3 linked regions of the Oryzias latipes genome follow. The protein of the gene in region 3 interacts with the protein of the main gene of each other region in a pairwise test. Links are inferred from orthologs where the notes say so. Each region holds a gene or a part of one and is shown on either strand. Other genes may lie near its edges.

Evidence for each region.
Region 1: the proteins of tpp2 (region 3) and polb interact in binary tests that used the Homo sapiens proteins (3 or more experiments, as listed by UniProt). The two-hybrid records come from large-scale screens. The link is inferred for Oryzias latipes from reciprocal best matches to the Homo sapiens genes TPP2 and POLB.
Region 2: the proteins of tpp2 (region 3) and ppp1r16a interact in binary tests that used the Homo sapiens proteins (3 or more experiments, as listed by UniProt). The two-hybrid records come from large-scale screens. The link is inferred for Oryzias latipes from reciprocal best matches to the Homo sapiens genes TPP2 and PPP1R16A.

What each region holds. Positions count from the first base shown.
Region 1 is NC_019867.2:6,236,823-6,240,826, forward strand, and holds the start of polb (DNA polymerase beta), read left to right. Parts: upstream 1-1,175; 5' UTR 1,176-1,316; coding exon 1,317-1,377; intron 1,378-1,673; coding exon 1,674-1,731; intron 1,732-2,606; coding exon 2,607-2,673; intron 2,674-2,895; coding exon 2,896-2,970; intron 2,971-3,053; coding exon 3,054-3,112; intron 3,113-3,257; coding exon 3,258-3,307; intron 3,308-3,421; coding exon 3,422-3,473; intron 3,474-3,543; coding exon 3,544-3,598; intron 3,599-3,688; coding exon 3,689-3,761; intron 3,762-3,830; coding exon 3,831-3,901; intron 3,902-3,975; coding exon 3,976-4,004. Other genes in the region: enkd1 (enkurin domain-containing protein 1), read left to right, coding at 93-229, 365-501, 604-764.
Region 2 is NC_019878.2:14,900,644-14,904,972, reverse strand, and holds the start of ppp1r16a (protein phosphatase 1 regulatory subunit 16A), read left to right. Parts: upstream 1-1,524; 5' UTR 1,525-1,672; intron 1,673-4,329. UniProt on the Homo sapiens protein: Inhibits protein phosphatase 1 activity toward phosphorylase, myosin light chain and myosin substrates.
Region 3 is NC_019861.2:16,571,000-16,575,101, reverse strand, and holds the start of tpp2 (tripeptidyl-peptidase 2), read right to left. Parts: upstream 2,808-4,102; 5' UTR 2,610-2,807; coding exon 2,445-2,609; intron 454-2,444; coding exon 325-453; intron 170-324; coding exon 74-169; intron 1-73. UniProt on the Homo sapiens protein: Cytosolic tripeptidyl-peptidase that releases N-terminal tripeptides from polypeptides and is a component of the proteolytic cascade acting downstream of the 26S proteasome in the ubiquitin-proteasome pathway.

The sequences.
Region 1 (4,004 bases), on a different chromosome or scaffold from region 3:
AAGAAATAAACATTCAAAACACATTTTATAAGAAAAAAGCTCTCTGGTGTGTTGGATCCATGTCTTCGATCTTTTCTTTGTCCCTTTCTAAGGTGCAAGGTCAGGCAATAAACTTCATCAGACACAATGCCAGAGCCGCAGGAAAAACTGTGACTCGCCGTTCTCAGTCACTGACAGACCTCAGAGATAAACCTGTGCCCAGCGCAGTCAAAGGACAGGTCCCGCAGTAGTAAGTATTCCAACAAGAAAATTGACCTTCTTAACAGGCTTTAACTTATCCACGATCCCCTCTGAGATGGAAAAAGTTTTGATAATCTAATTAATAACTTAAAAGTATGTTTCGTTTTGAACATTGCACTTACAGCCTTGAGGAAAGGAAAGCACAGTGGCGCAAAGAGGAGGAGGAGAGAAAAAGAAACACACCCGATCCTACAATCCCACCTGGTCACACCTTAATGCAGGACAGTGAAAGGCAGGAAACACTGAAATCTCTGAAAGATAGTATGTATTTACCTTCACCTTTAGTTGATTTTGATACTTAATACACCACGTATAGTGTGAGACTTTATAGTTCCTTGGTTAATTATACTTTTTCCTCCTCAGCTCATCGCACCCTGGTGATGGAATTAAACTCACTCCCTCTGAAAGCAGACAACCTGAGTACTCGCTCACGTCGGGCTCATCTTGACTGCAGGCTTTCTGAAATTGAGGAGGCAATAAAGATATTCTCCAGGGACAAAGTTTATATCAAAACTGATTCCTAACATCTCAAGAAGAGGATATATAAAGAGGATATATAGGAAAGGGTGGAATAGGATCCTTAAAAATCAACACAATTTAGATACTGCTGTGGAAATATACCCAAAAAAGTTGTACATTAGATTTATTTGCTTTGAATGCATTTTTTATTTTATAAAATGTATACATGGTATCTTGAAAAACAGTTGTGTATCTGCTTGTAATTTATTTATTTTGCTTTTGAGCTGTATTTGATGTATTGTAGCCACATAACTGTCAGTAATGAAAATGTATATTTTTCTTTCTTAAATCTTATCCAATAATACTTTGTACAGAACCAGTGTCTTTGTCTTTTTATGTATTATACCCAATTTAACCATAAATACACTTGAATCCTTTTTGACGAAGTGCGCACGCGCAGCCCCGCCCCCACCATGTCTCATTGTTCAGAGCAAGCTAACTTTTGCTAACGTGGTAGTCAGAAACTGACTGACACCTTGCAGCTTGTAATCGCTTTCGCACGCAAATATTACTTGGGAATTTTTTTTAAAACACTACAATAGTGAATTACATCCACTATGAGCAAAAGAAAAGCACCACAGGAATCTCCAAACGAAGGAATAACGGACTTTCTCATCGGTAAGTGAAGTTAAGGTTTGCTAGCAGAAGCTAGCCTTTCCATTTAAAAATAAATACCCACATATCTTGCTAATTATGCTTTATTGAGAGTGGCCCCGTTGATTATGTTTCTTTCTCGTCAGTTAGAAAGCATCAAGGTTACTTTGATGTACAATATTTAAACTTAATGACTATGATAAAATCACTCAAACATAAAGCCGACTCTAAGCTAGCAGAGTTAAGCTGATGAATGGGCGGATCGGTGTTTTGAAAATCATGAGAGGTGGGAGAATGCCTTAATGGGTTTCTGTTTGCAGAGTTGGCCAACTACGAGAAAAATGTCAACAGGGCAATACACAAGTACAATGCTTACAGGTATGTTCGGGAGAGTAAGGGAGTGTAAGCCCCATTGTTGTTGTTTTTAAAAATAATTACTATAGCAATGATGTCTGCCCAAAACATCCCCTTTTCACAATTTTTACATTTAAATATGTCCATGCTCTTTGAATCCTTCCTGTGAAATACAGAAATTTTCACTAAATCTTTCATAGAGCCGAGAACCTAACATTGTGCTTTGTTTGTGTTGCATGATGAGTGTGTGTTTTGTGGTTCCTTCTGCTTTCTCTCTTTGCTGCTCCCTTGGTATCGCTGCACCGAATCATCCGCCTCCATCCACTAAACCTCCTCTGCATCCTCCTCACTCACACTACCCACCTTCTCCTCAACAACATCCATGAACCTCCTCTTTCCTGTAGCTCCAACCTCAGCATCCTTTGATCAACATTATCACTGTCCTTCCTTTGAGCGTGTCAAAATCATCTCAGTCTGCTTCCCTGCATTTATCCTCAAAACATCTCACACCTTTCCTTATCTCATCCATCCTCATCACACCCAAAGAGAACCTCAGCATCTTCATCTCTGCTACCCAAAGCTCTGCCTCCTGTCACATCAGAGCCACTCTCTCTAATTCAAAAACATGGCTGCTCTTACCACAGTTTTCTGCGGCTTTCCTTTCGTTCTTTCTTTTGTTACACTACACACCTTCCTCCACCCGTTGCAACCCGCTTGCACATGCCTCTTTTCCCACACTCTTTGTTGTTCTGGACTGTGGACCTTAAGTACTTAGTCCTCCATTTTCTCCACCAACTTCTCAGCAACACGATTTTCTTATCTTCTTCAGTCAGAGTTTAATACCTGCGTTGATATTTTTTTTTTAATCTTATTTTTTTTACCTCTTTCATTCATAATAGGAAAGCAGCATCTACCATTTCTAAATACCCAAGCAAGATTAGGAACGGAGAAGAAGCAAAAAAACTGGTATGTGCTGATATATATATATATATTTAAAATATCTCCTATTTGATGTGAAATTTTCCGAATTGTTTTTTGTTGTCTTAAGAATGTGTTAATGTTTTAAGAAGTGTTTTATGAGCTCTATCTGAACCTAAACTATTTTGTTAACTTACATTTTCTATAACTCCTGAAAATGCTGAAGCATCCGCCTACGTATTTACATTCAATTCCTCTTTCATGATTCAGGATGGTGTTGGTGCCAAAATAGCAGAAAAGATTGATGAATTTCTACAAACTGGCAAACTAAGAAAACTAGAAAAGGTGAGAGTTTACTGATACTGCAGAGGATGTGCTGATAGAATCCATGTTGTCACACAAACTGATTTATTTATGTTTTTCGATAGATCCGAAATGATGATACCAGCTCTTCCATCAACTTCCTCACTAGAGTTACTGGAATTGGGTATGTTGGTAATGTTATTCGTATAGTTGGATGACATGGTTTTTATTGACCTTTACAGTGGTCCTTCAAGAGAAGCTAAAAAAGTTATTTCTGTTCTGCAGATATGATTTAAAAAACATATAATTAGTGTGTCTTTTTTATTTAGCCCTGCTGCCGCCAGGAAGTTTTTTGAAGAAGGGGTGAAGACATTAGATGGTTTGTAAAGTCTCTTATGTGCATTACTATTATGTGACATCAGTATGAATGTGTTGCAAATTCTAAAATGTTTTGCATTATGTTGATTTTCCGTATGTTCCTATTCTTTTGCAGATTTGAAAAAGGTTGAGCACAAACTTAACCACCATCAAAAGATTGGACTCAGGTAAAGGTTTGACATTTACTTATTCAAATACTCAAAAATGACTGTTTAGTGACTAATCTGCTTCATTTAGGTACTTTGAAGAGTTTGAGAAAAGGATCCCAAGAGCTGAAATGGAACAAATGGAGGTAGTTTTTCCTTTTGCTTCTATGTTTTCTACTTCCGGGCTGGAAAGTGTCGTGTATTTGTCAAGCTTTTCATCATCTTGTGTTTTTAAGGCTCTTATCATTGCTGAGTTGGAGAAAATTGATCCAGAATATATTGGAACAATATGTGGAAGCTACAGAAGAGGTGATCTTTACTGTCTTTAGTCATTTTCTTTACTGGTTGGTGGCGTTTGTAACTGTTTATGGTTTCCAGGTGCAGCGTCGAGTGGTGATATTGATATTTTGCTGACCCACCCAAACTACACCTCGCAGACTGAGAAACAGGTAAAAAGTAATCTCATGAATACTTTTATTCCCATCTTTATCTGCAACTCAGTTTTCTGTTCTTTTGTCCTCAGCCCAAGCTCCTCCATGCTGTGGTTGAACA
Region 2 (4,329 bases), on a different chromosome or scaffold from region 3:
GAGATTTGATGGTTTTTACAGGTTCCTCCTACCGGTACATAAATGTACAACAACCACACTTGTGTACACAAACACACCCTTTGCATTTGCCTCAACCTGACTGAAGTACTTTCAAACTGAGGTACTGGATGTCACAATCATGACACAGAGTTACGTTATGTTTACCTATTCATGGTCATTTTCTTTTAAGCAGTGAGATACTGTCATGTTTAAAATAAAGTATAAAAGAAAAAGAGTTAAAATCCTCCATGTTTCATTGGGTTTTAAGACTTTGTGCTCGTACAAAAATGGACCTTAGAAAACAAGAGAGTAAAACCATGTTGAAGAAATGTTTGTCTAAATGACACAGACCAGATTTTCAAGGCTTCAAAATGACATTTCATTTTTATCTGAAATAATTTTTAATAATGAGAACCTGTTGTACTTCTTTAAGATTTTTAATAATACTTCTTTAATTTTTTCACACTTTTTTTTGTCAATATCACATGGTGCTTATGTGAAGGTAAAAGGTACTCCATTTACTAAAAGTCACTAAAAACATGTGACTCAAACCTTATTTCACTTGAATTTTTGCTTTCACTATTTTAAGCATTAGACAAAAATCTTTAAAACTTAAGATACAGTTGCTACCATAAATAGCTTTATTGATTTTATATATTTTTCAATATCTGTTGTAATGTGTATATCCATCTTTTGTGTGTAGTGTAGCATTACTGTACATGATAGTATGTACCACGTAGAGTGCATCATCAGTATCTGAAAAGAAAAAACAACAATACCAGGTTAGTGCCTTTCTGGGAAAAATACTTTTTTTAAAGTATTTTCCAAATTTCTACACAATAAGCTCTTAAGCAAATACAAACATTGGGAAAAAAAACATTATATTTAAGTATCTATCACAGTAACTTAAATAAGTAATTCCCCATGAACCTTTCATTATTCTATTTAGGGGAAACAATTCCTGTTTTATTTTAAAGTCTGGGATGTTTGTTTTAATGCTCTGCATTCATAGTTCTAGAAACTGTTTTCCACTCATATATTTAAACGCATGTATGTTCCTGAGGGCATATATGTTGGCAAAGGCAGACATGTCCATTGATTTGGGAAAATTTGAATATTTTATGTGGGGTGCCTTAAGGGAGAAAAGATAAAATGGTAGATACATTTACGAACAACTAAGGACTTTGTAGACACAAGGAGAAAGATAATTATTAACTTAATAAAAGCTCAGTTTTCGGAGTTATGAATAGAAAATTGCGTATTTGAAGCAATCAAAACGAAATCAACCTAAAGGAGACAACAAAAATACATCAAACTTTAAATAATTAGAATTGATTGGTACCTTATAGTATATGACACACTCAAATAATTAATTATTAAATTTTTCAAAAGACGTTCAATTTATTGCTTTATCGAGCATAGGCTAAAAGTAAATTAGAAACGTGTGTCTTTTATTTCGAAGTCAAAACTTTTTTTAAAAAAAGTAAAGAAGCAGCTGAAAAGCTCTGCTTTGTCGCCCTCTAGTGGAGCCGGCGCAGAAGGAGGAGTAAGCGCGGGTCAGGTTGTTATGGTGAAGCATTTCCCCGGAGGCGCTGGCTCGAGTAGGAACGGAGGACAGTCGCTGATTCCGTTCCAGAGCCGCCGACCTGCCCGGGAGCTCCGGTCACCGCAGGTGAGCTTTCCTGTCTCTCCGGTCTGTCGCTTCAGGTCAGAGTTGTGCGACTGCTCGCTTTCAGGGGCGGTCCGTCCCGAAACGGTCATTAATACGAGGCGAGACAGAGTTTCTGTGTCACAGGTTGATGCAGCTCAAAAAGTAAGCTAACCGGACGTTATGGCAGCGCTAGCATAAATTAGTCGACTCAGCTCAACAGGTGGTCTTATTACTTTCCCTCTGTAAATTTTGAACCCAAAAACAAAACCACAAGTGTTCTCCATCATCAGTTAGCTAATCCAGGTAACTAACACGAACCGCTTACCTGCGGGGCTGAACACCTGTCGAGGCTGTCTGTCTGTCTGTGGACCGCTAGCTAATCTGCTGCTCGCACGGCAGGAATCGGGAGTTTACGTCATTTTTGTTAAAGCCGCTTTCTAGTGGATAAATTCACTTCGAGCGCGTGGAAGTGTCACGTAGACACGAATAAATGTATCCCAATCACTGCGTGGAATTGGCGCGAGGCATATCAGGGGCGCGTGGGGGACTTTTCTTGCGGTTACTTACTGCGGGTCATAGTTCAGGGCCAACCCTTGACTAATCTATACTGATTTTTATAGTAATTTGTACTAATATAATTTTTGGAGGCACACGAACAAATGAAAAAACAACAGCGCTCAGTAACGAACTTTAATATTCTGTGTTTATTTTATCTTCTATGCATTTAACACGGGGAGCATTGGAAACCATTAGGTACCATTTTTAGATAATCTTATGTCCATTAGTATTTAATTTTTTTAATCTTCTGTCTTTTTATTAAATTAAAAACAACTTTTAATAGAAGATAGTTCATAGACTTCTGTCATAAATGTCACACATAACACCACTATGAGATTATTGCCAACAGTAAACATCTATTAATAATTGATTGAGCCTCTATATGGCAGTCATCTCCTGACATTTACTGATTTGTGGCTGTCTGAAAGACAATTCCTTCAATCTTGTTCTTAAGTAATGCTGCATCTGGGCAAAGTACCTTTTACAAATAACATTTAACCACTAGGCACGGTAACAGGTTTGCAGGTTTTGTCATCCAGATTAAGACTAATTCATGGACTTTGTGATGCACAGAGGGTTAATTTAAATGATTCTTGTCGTTGGATCATTTCTAAAAATCACACTTCTCCACACAAATCTATTTGGCAGAACCTCTAAAGAAAAAATCAGATCTGTGACCTCTGGACTGATAGAAACAAAGAACTTCCTGTCAGCATTTACAGCAAATAAAAGCCTTTTGGACACAATAAAAACAGCATCAAATGTTTCTTTCCTCAAGGGTTACTCGTGTAACTTGAATTCTCAGTGGGGAAAAAAAACAAATCTGCTTTTTTTTTAGATTTATTTGACCTGATAAGATCATTTTTAGTTTCTCCCTGACATTCCCTCAAACATTCCTTACTCTCAAACTCCCCCGTCCTCTCCTTCTTCTCAATAGGTTCTTTCTTTACAGTTATGCCTGTTTAAACATGGACATAAATCAAACATATGTCGCAAAGATCCAATTGTCTCTTGTTTACACAGAATCCGAGCACTCTGACATTTATATTTGCTACTGAGCACCTCTTCCTCCACCTTCCTCATCCTCTCGGATCTCTTTCACATCATTTCCTCCACATCCTTTTGCTCCTTCGGTTCATATCCTGTGATTCTTTCTAAATGTGTCTTTTATCCCTGAAACTTGCTCCCTCCTTTCTTTATGCTGTAGAATTCTTGCCAGAATTACTGAGAGTTTTAGGGGATTTATTTGAAGCTAGTCCAATCGTTACACATAACGCGCCTCGCAGTAGACCCCCCCCTCCCTCGTTCTGTTCTTCCTTCAAGGCCAGCAGACATCAACTGTTTTCATGTGTGCATCAAAAACACAGATTGTGTCACACAAACCACCATGACAAGTTTTGTTTTGTCTCACTAGAGACTGTAAGAGGATGCAAATTGAAGGCTCGGTCTTTCCCGGATGTTTCCGTGTTTCATCAAAGCTTCATGGAGGCCGTAGTGTTTGTTTCTGTGAGCAGGTTTAACATTGAGACAGTCCAGGCTGCATGCAAGTTCACTGCAAACCCCTATGCAGCACACTGCACCTTATATAAAGGATGAAAATGGTGTTTTAACATGTTCTTGTGCCATTTTTCTGATGAAAAAGTGAAGTTTAAAATAGCATTCCTGAGGATTTCTTTATTCAAATCATTTTGAATGAGAAGCAGATAAAAAAAAAAAAGGCGTTGGAAAAAAAGATCATTTGTTACATAGAAAATGTGCTGCAGCCACAAGCTCCCTGCTCCGCTCCGCTCCATTTTGATGCATCCATTTATAGACAAATAGATCCATGTGCGTCTTTGTTTTCCTCGTCTGAGCTGGAATCTGGATCCAAACTGCTGGATGGCTCCAGTGTTGCTCAACCACTGCACGGTGGCGCAGGTTTCCTCAAGTCCCAGCTGGGGGACTGGAAACAGAACACCATACCTTTCTGGGTGGAGTAAGCATGTTCTCCCCATGTATGTGAGGGTTTTCTCCGGGGAGTCCGGCTTTCTCCCAGGGTCCAAAAACATGCTTGATAGGTTAAGTGGGTACTCTAAATTGTCGCTAGGTGTGAAAGTGAGTGTGCATGGGTGTGTGATTGT
Region 3 (4,102 bases):
TCAAAACAGCCAAAAAAGCTAAATTACCCATAAAAAAATAACAAAACACTAAAGTACAATCACATCTTCCTACCTGTATCCTTTCTTTAAGAGCCTTGGGGAAGAATTCATAGCCATTTTTAACTCCAATGCGAAACTTCCCTGTTGGATTGACCCATGCTGGAGGAATCTGAAAGATGTAAAAAAAAACACAGCAAGAGACTTACAGTTAACACACATGTCTTCAGATGGAGGACATTAACATGAGGCAGAATATTTCAGAAGTAGCTGTTGTTGTTTTCTTAACCATCAATTCTGTTTCTTTCAAGAGACTTCTCAACCCACCTTAAGTATTCTACCAGACAGACCAGTGATTGTCCCATCTTTGGCTTCTGCCACCGTAGTCATGTTCACGTCCCCACTGCCTGTGGTATCGATGATGTCCACAATCTTTGGCTTCCCTTCAGTTGTGACCTTAAAAAAATAAAAAATAGTACTGCTGAAAAATAGATTTATTTTAGAGTTATACACAGAGAAACAACCCTGGTTCAATTTCGGGCAGGGTCCTTTGTGTGGAGTTTACATGTTTGCATGTTGCATGTGCATGTGTGGGAGTGATTGTTTGGCCCTGCAACAGTCCATGATTTACCCGGCCTTCACCCAACAGCAGCCAGGACAGGCTATGGCAGGGGTGAGCAAACTTTTCTTAATGTATTTTGGATTGAGACTCGTGGGCCAAAGAGGGTTCTAAAATTTGACGAAGCTGGAGCTGATGTGTGGGACGTTTTGGTAGTCCACCTCATCAGAGGAAGAAATAATAACACGGAATCTTGATGAAAACCTGCTTGAACTGATTAAAAATGGGTTTATATATTTTAAAACTGAACATTTTGGATTTTGTTCTCATTTTCGAGCCAATTGCACAGATGGATTGATCTCCCTCAGGGAAAATGCTAAATTAGAGAAATGCTGCGTTCATCTGCAGTTGGAATGGTCAGAAACATCAGAAAAACAGCAAATAACTTTCTACATCTCAGCAAAGGTTACTTTATTTGCAGAGAACCATTTATGAGTGGAAAATAAAACCTCTATAAAGATTATCAATATAATTTATTCCAGTTTGGCGCCCAGGCCATACATGACCCCCGGGCCCTGGTTTGTCCACAACTGGGCTGCAGCAACCTTGTGAGCTCTAAGGGATATTGCAGGTTATAAAAATAGATGGATGGATAATTCTGATCTGACAGAAGCTGTAAGGTTAATTATAAGAAGCTGTTTATAGTCACTAAAGCACAGTGACAAAAGAAGACAAAAATATGTCATCTTAGAATGAAAACAAGGGAAAACCAGTCAACAGTACAGAACAGAGATTGAGATTTGACTGAACACTGATTTAGCCCCATATGAATTTAGGGTGTTTTTTTTTCTATTTGTGAACAGTTGGTGAAATTATTTTAAGGTCAAGGTAGCAGAAAAGTTGTATCTTTATTAGTAAAGACAAATGAAAAAAAAAGTGTAGTTCTTTATTTAAATATGGCAATAAAAGTACATAATTAGCTATATATACATTAAAACGTATGCTCAACTATCTGTTCTTTGGCCAGTCTTCTTTATATCTTATTTTTAATGATGTCTTTACTTGGAAAATGTCCTTTTTTATGTTTTTATTAATGTTTTGTTGTTAAATTGCTATTTTTCTATTTTAAAATACACTAATATTTACACAATTTTCAAATTATGACCTGTAGAAAAGAAATACGTTTTGTGTCTTGTATGTTTTACTTTTCTTTTGGCTGTTAGAAATCTAACACCAGAAACTAGCACAGCTTCCACTCTGAATTGACAGTTCAAATGTTTCATTTAGTTTTATCTTCTGTTTCTGTTAACCGGATTGATGGGACCAAGTATTTTGCTTAAGCTAGTAAATGCTACAAATAAAAAGCTAGCTTAGTAGCTGCAAACCACTTTAGTGACCTTTTATCCTATATATTTGTAAACGTGTTTACAGGGTTCTGTTTTTAGCTTTGAAATTGTGACAGCAGTTTAATTCACCGACAGTTATTTCGCCATCACGGTTTAAGGCTTTCATAAGAAAACGCAACAGTTAGCTGATATGCTTAGCAATTTCTAAAAAGTTAATAGTAAATGGAGTATCTTTCCTGGCTAGCAAGTGATTTACCGTACACGCTAATGTGATGCTAGTTTGCTTTCTACTATTCCAGGAACTAACAGAAATTGACAGGTGGTTTTACCAACTTTAAAGTATTTCTTCTTTTAATTTAAATAGTCTGACTATCATAAAATGTAATAAAAAGAGATTTATTGTTGTGTTTTTTGCTCCTGCTAGCATGTGGGTTCACTTGTGTCTTACGGTGACTGCGTAGAAATTACGTCGGCCCTTTAGCTTTCTTAGCTTCCAGCTGCTAAATCTAAGCTAACACGAGGCAGCCGCCGGTCAAGTGTACCTGCATGCCGGGGGCACCGGGATCCACTCCGGTGTCGAGGATAGCGATGAGCACCCCTCGCCCGTCATATTCGGGGAACCTGGACAGATGGGAGGCGGCGCCGGTCTCTTTCTTGGGGAGCAGTCCGTGGAAGGGGAACGGTTCTTCACTAGAATGAGCAGCCATGATGATACAAAAGAGCGACAATAAATTCAAAGCAGCGAAATGGGGAAGAGACGGAGAGCAACACGGTGATGGGTGCGAGAGACCGGGGACAACGGCTCGTTAAAGGCGCAGCGCCTGCCCATCCACAGCCGGGGACAACCAACATAAACAAATATTATTTTTTACACGGAGGAAACCGTTTACAAAGCGACAATTCTACACTTGAATCTCATTTTTATTATTCGAATTGTAATAAAAGGCAATCTGGGTGTCACAGGCAATAACTCTGACGTCATAATAATAATAATAAACTCCAGGTTTACATGTATGCACATTTATTTTTGTCAAGCAAAATTGCAGAGTACATGCATCTGATGCAACAATGACTTCAATATTTATATACTAAGATTTATACTTTAATATATGGAAATGTTTCTGTCTTTATTTATTTATTCCTATTTCTATAAACAAATGTTTGGAACATAAGGTCCATTAGTCATGGCTTAAAATCATTGAATGGCAAAGGAAAAGTTATTTTTAATATATATCTCATGTAATAACACTCTCCAAAAAAGGCAAATTATTATTTATGTCTAAAGTACAGTGCTTGTACAACACTGATCCTTGTAATGTTTGTGTAAACAAAAAAGTGGGGGGAAGTGTTTATGAGTGTTTTTGCAGGAGAAAATGCATGCAATATCACTGTTGAACGCAGAGAGGCGCTATAAAGGCAACAAAAACCGACCAAGGAAACTGTTGAATTGTGATGAAAGCCTAAAGTAGCTATATGCCCTATTTAATCAGAATGAACTCAAGACAGTCTACAAAAGCAACGAAACTAAGCAAATTGTCTGATCTCATCAAGCTGTGTTTTTTTTTAATAGGAGCAACACTGCAGCAGTAAAATGGTGTTTGAGAATTGTTAGGAAGAAAAGACATTATTTGTGAGTTGTTTACAGCACCCAGACCTTTAGCAAATCTTCCCTGCAAAGAAGATCTTCAATGACATTGACGAGTTCGGCTGCGACAAAAAATTAATACATGCTTCAGCAAGTCTATGATGGCAATAGAGAGGAATGGGCGGACTCTTGCAATATTTTTAAGATGATAAAATCCTGTCCTAACGACATTTTTAATGTGTGGGATAAAATGTAGCTCAGAGTCAAAAAGTACACCCAGGTTTCTCACACAGTGAGAAAGTTTAAAATTCGGAAGATATGGTAAAATCATCTCTCTTGTCTTCAGAACCAATTATTACATTTTCAGTTTTCATAATCGGTATTTTATATCTAAAAGACAATTTAAAACAGTGTTTATAGGTTCAAGGTCATCAGGTGACATGGCGATGTAAAGCTGTGTATCATCAGCGTGGCTGTGAAAGTCAACGCCGTGTCTCCTGGTGAATACCCAAGAGGCAACATATACAAGTTAAAAAGTATAGGACCTAAAATCGACCCTTGGGGAACCCCACAACTTGTTTCATGGCTTCTTGAAGAGCATGTATCCATACTTAC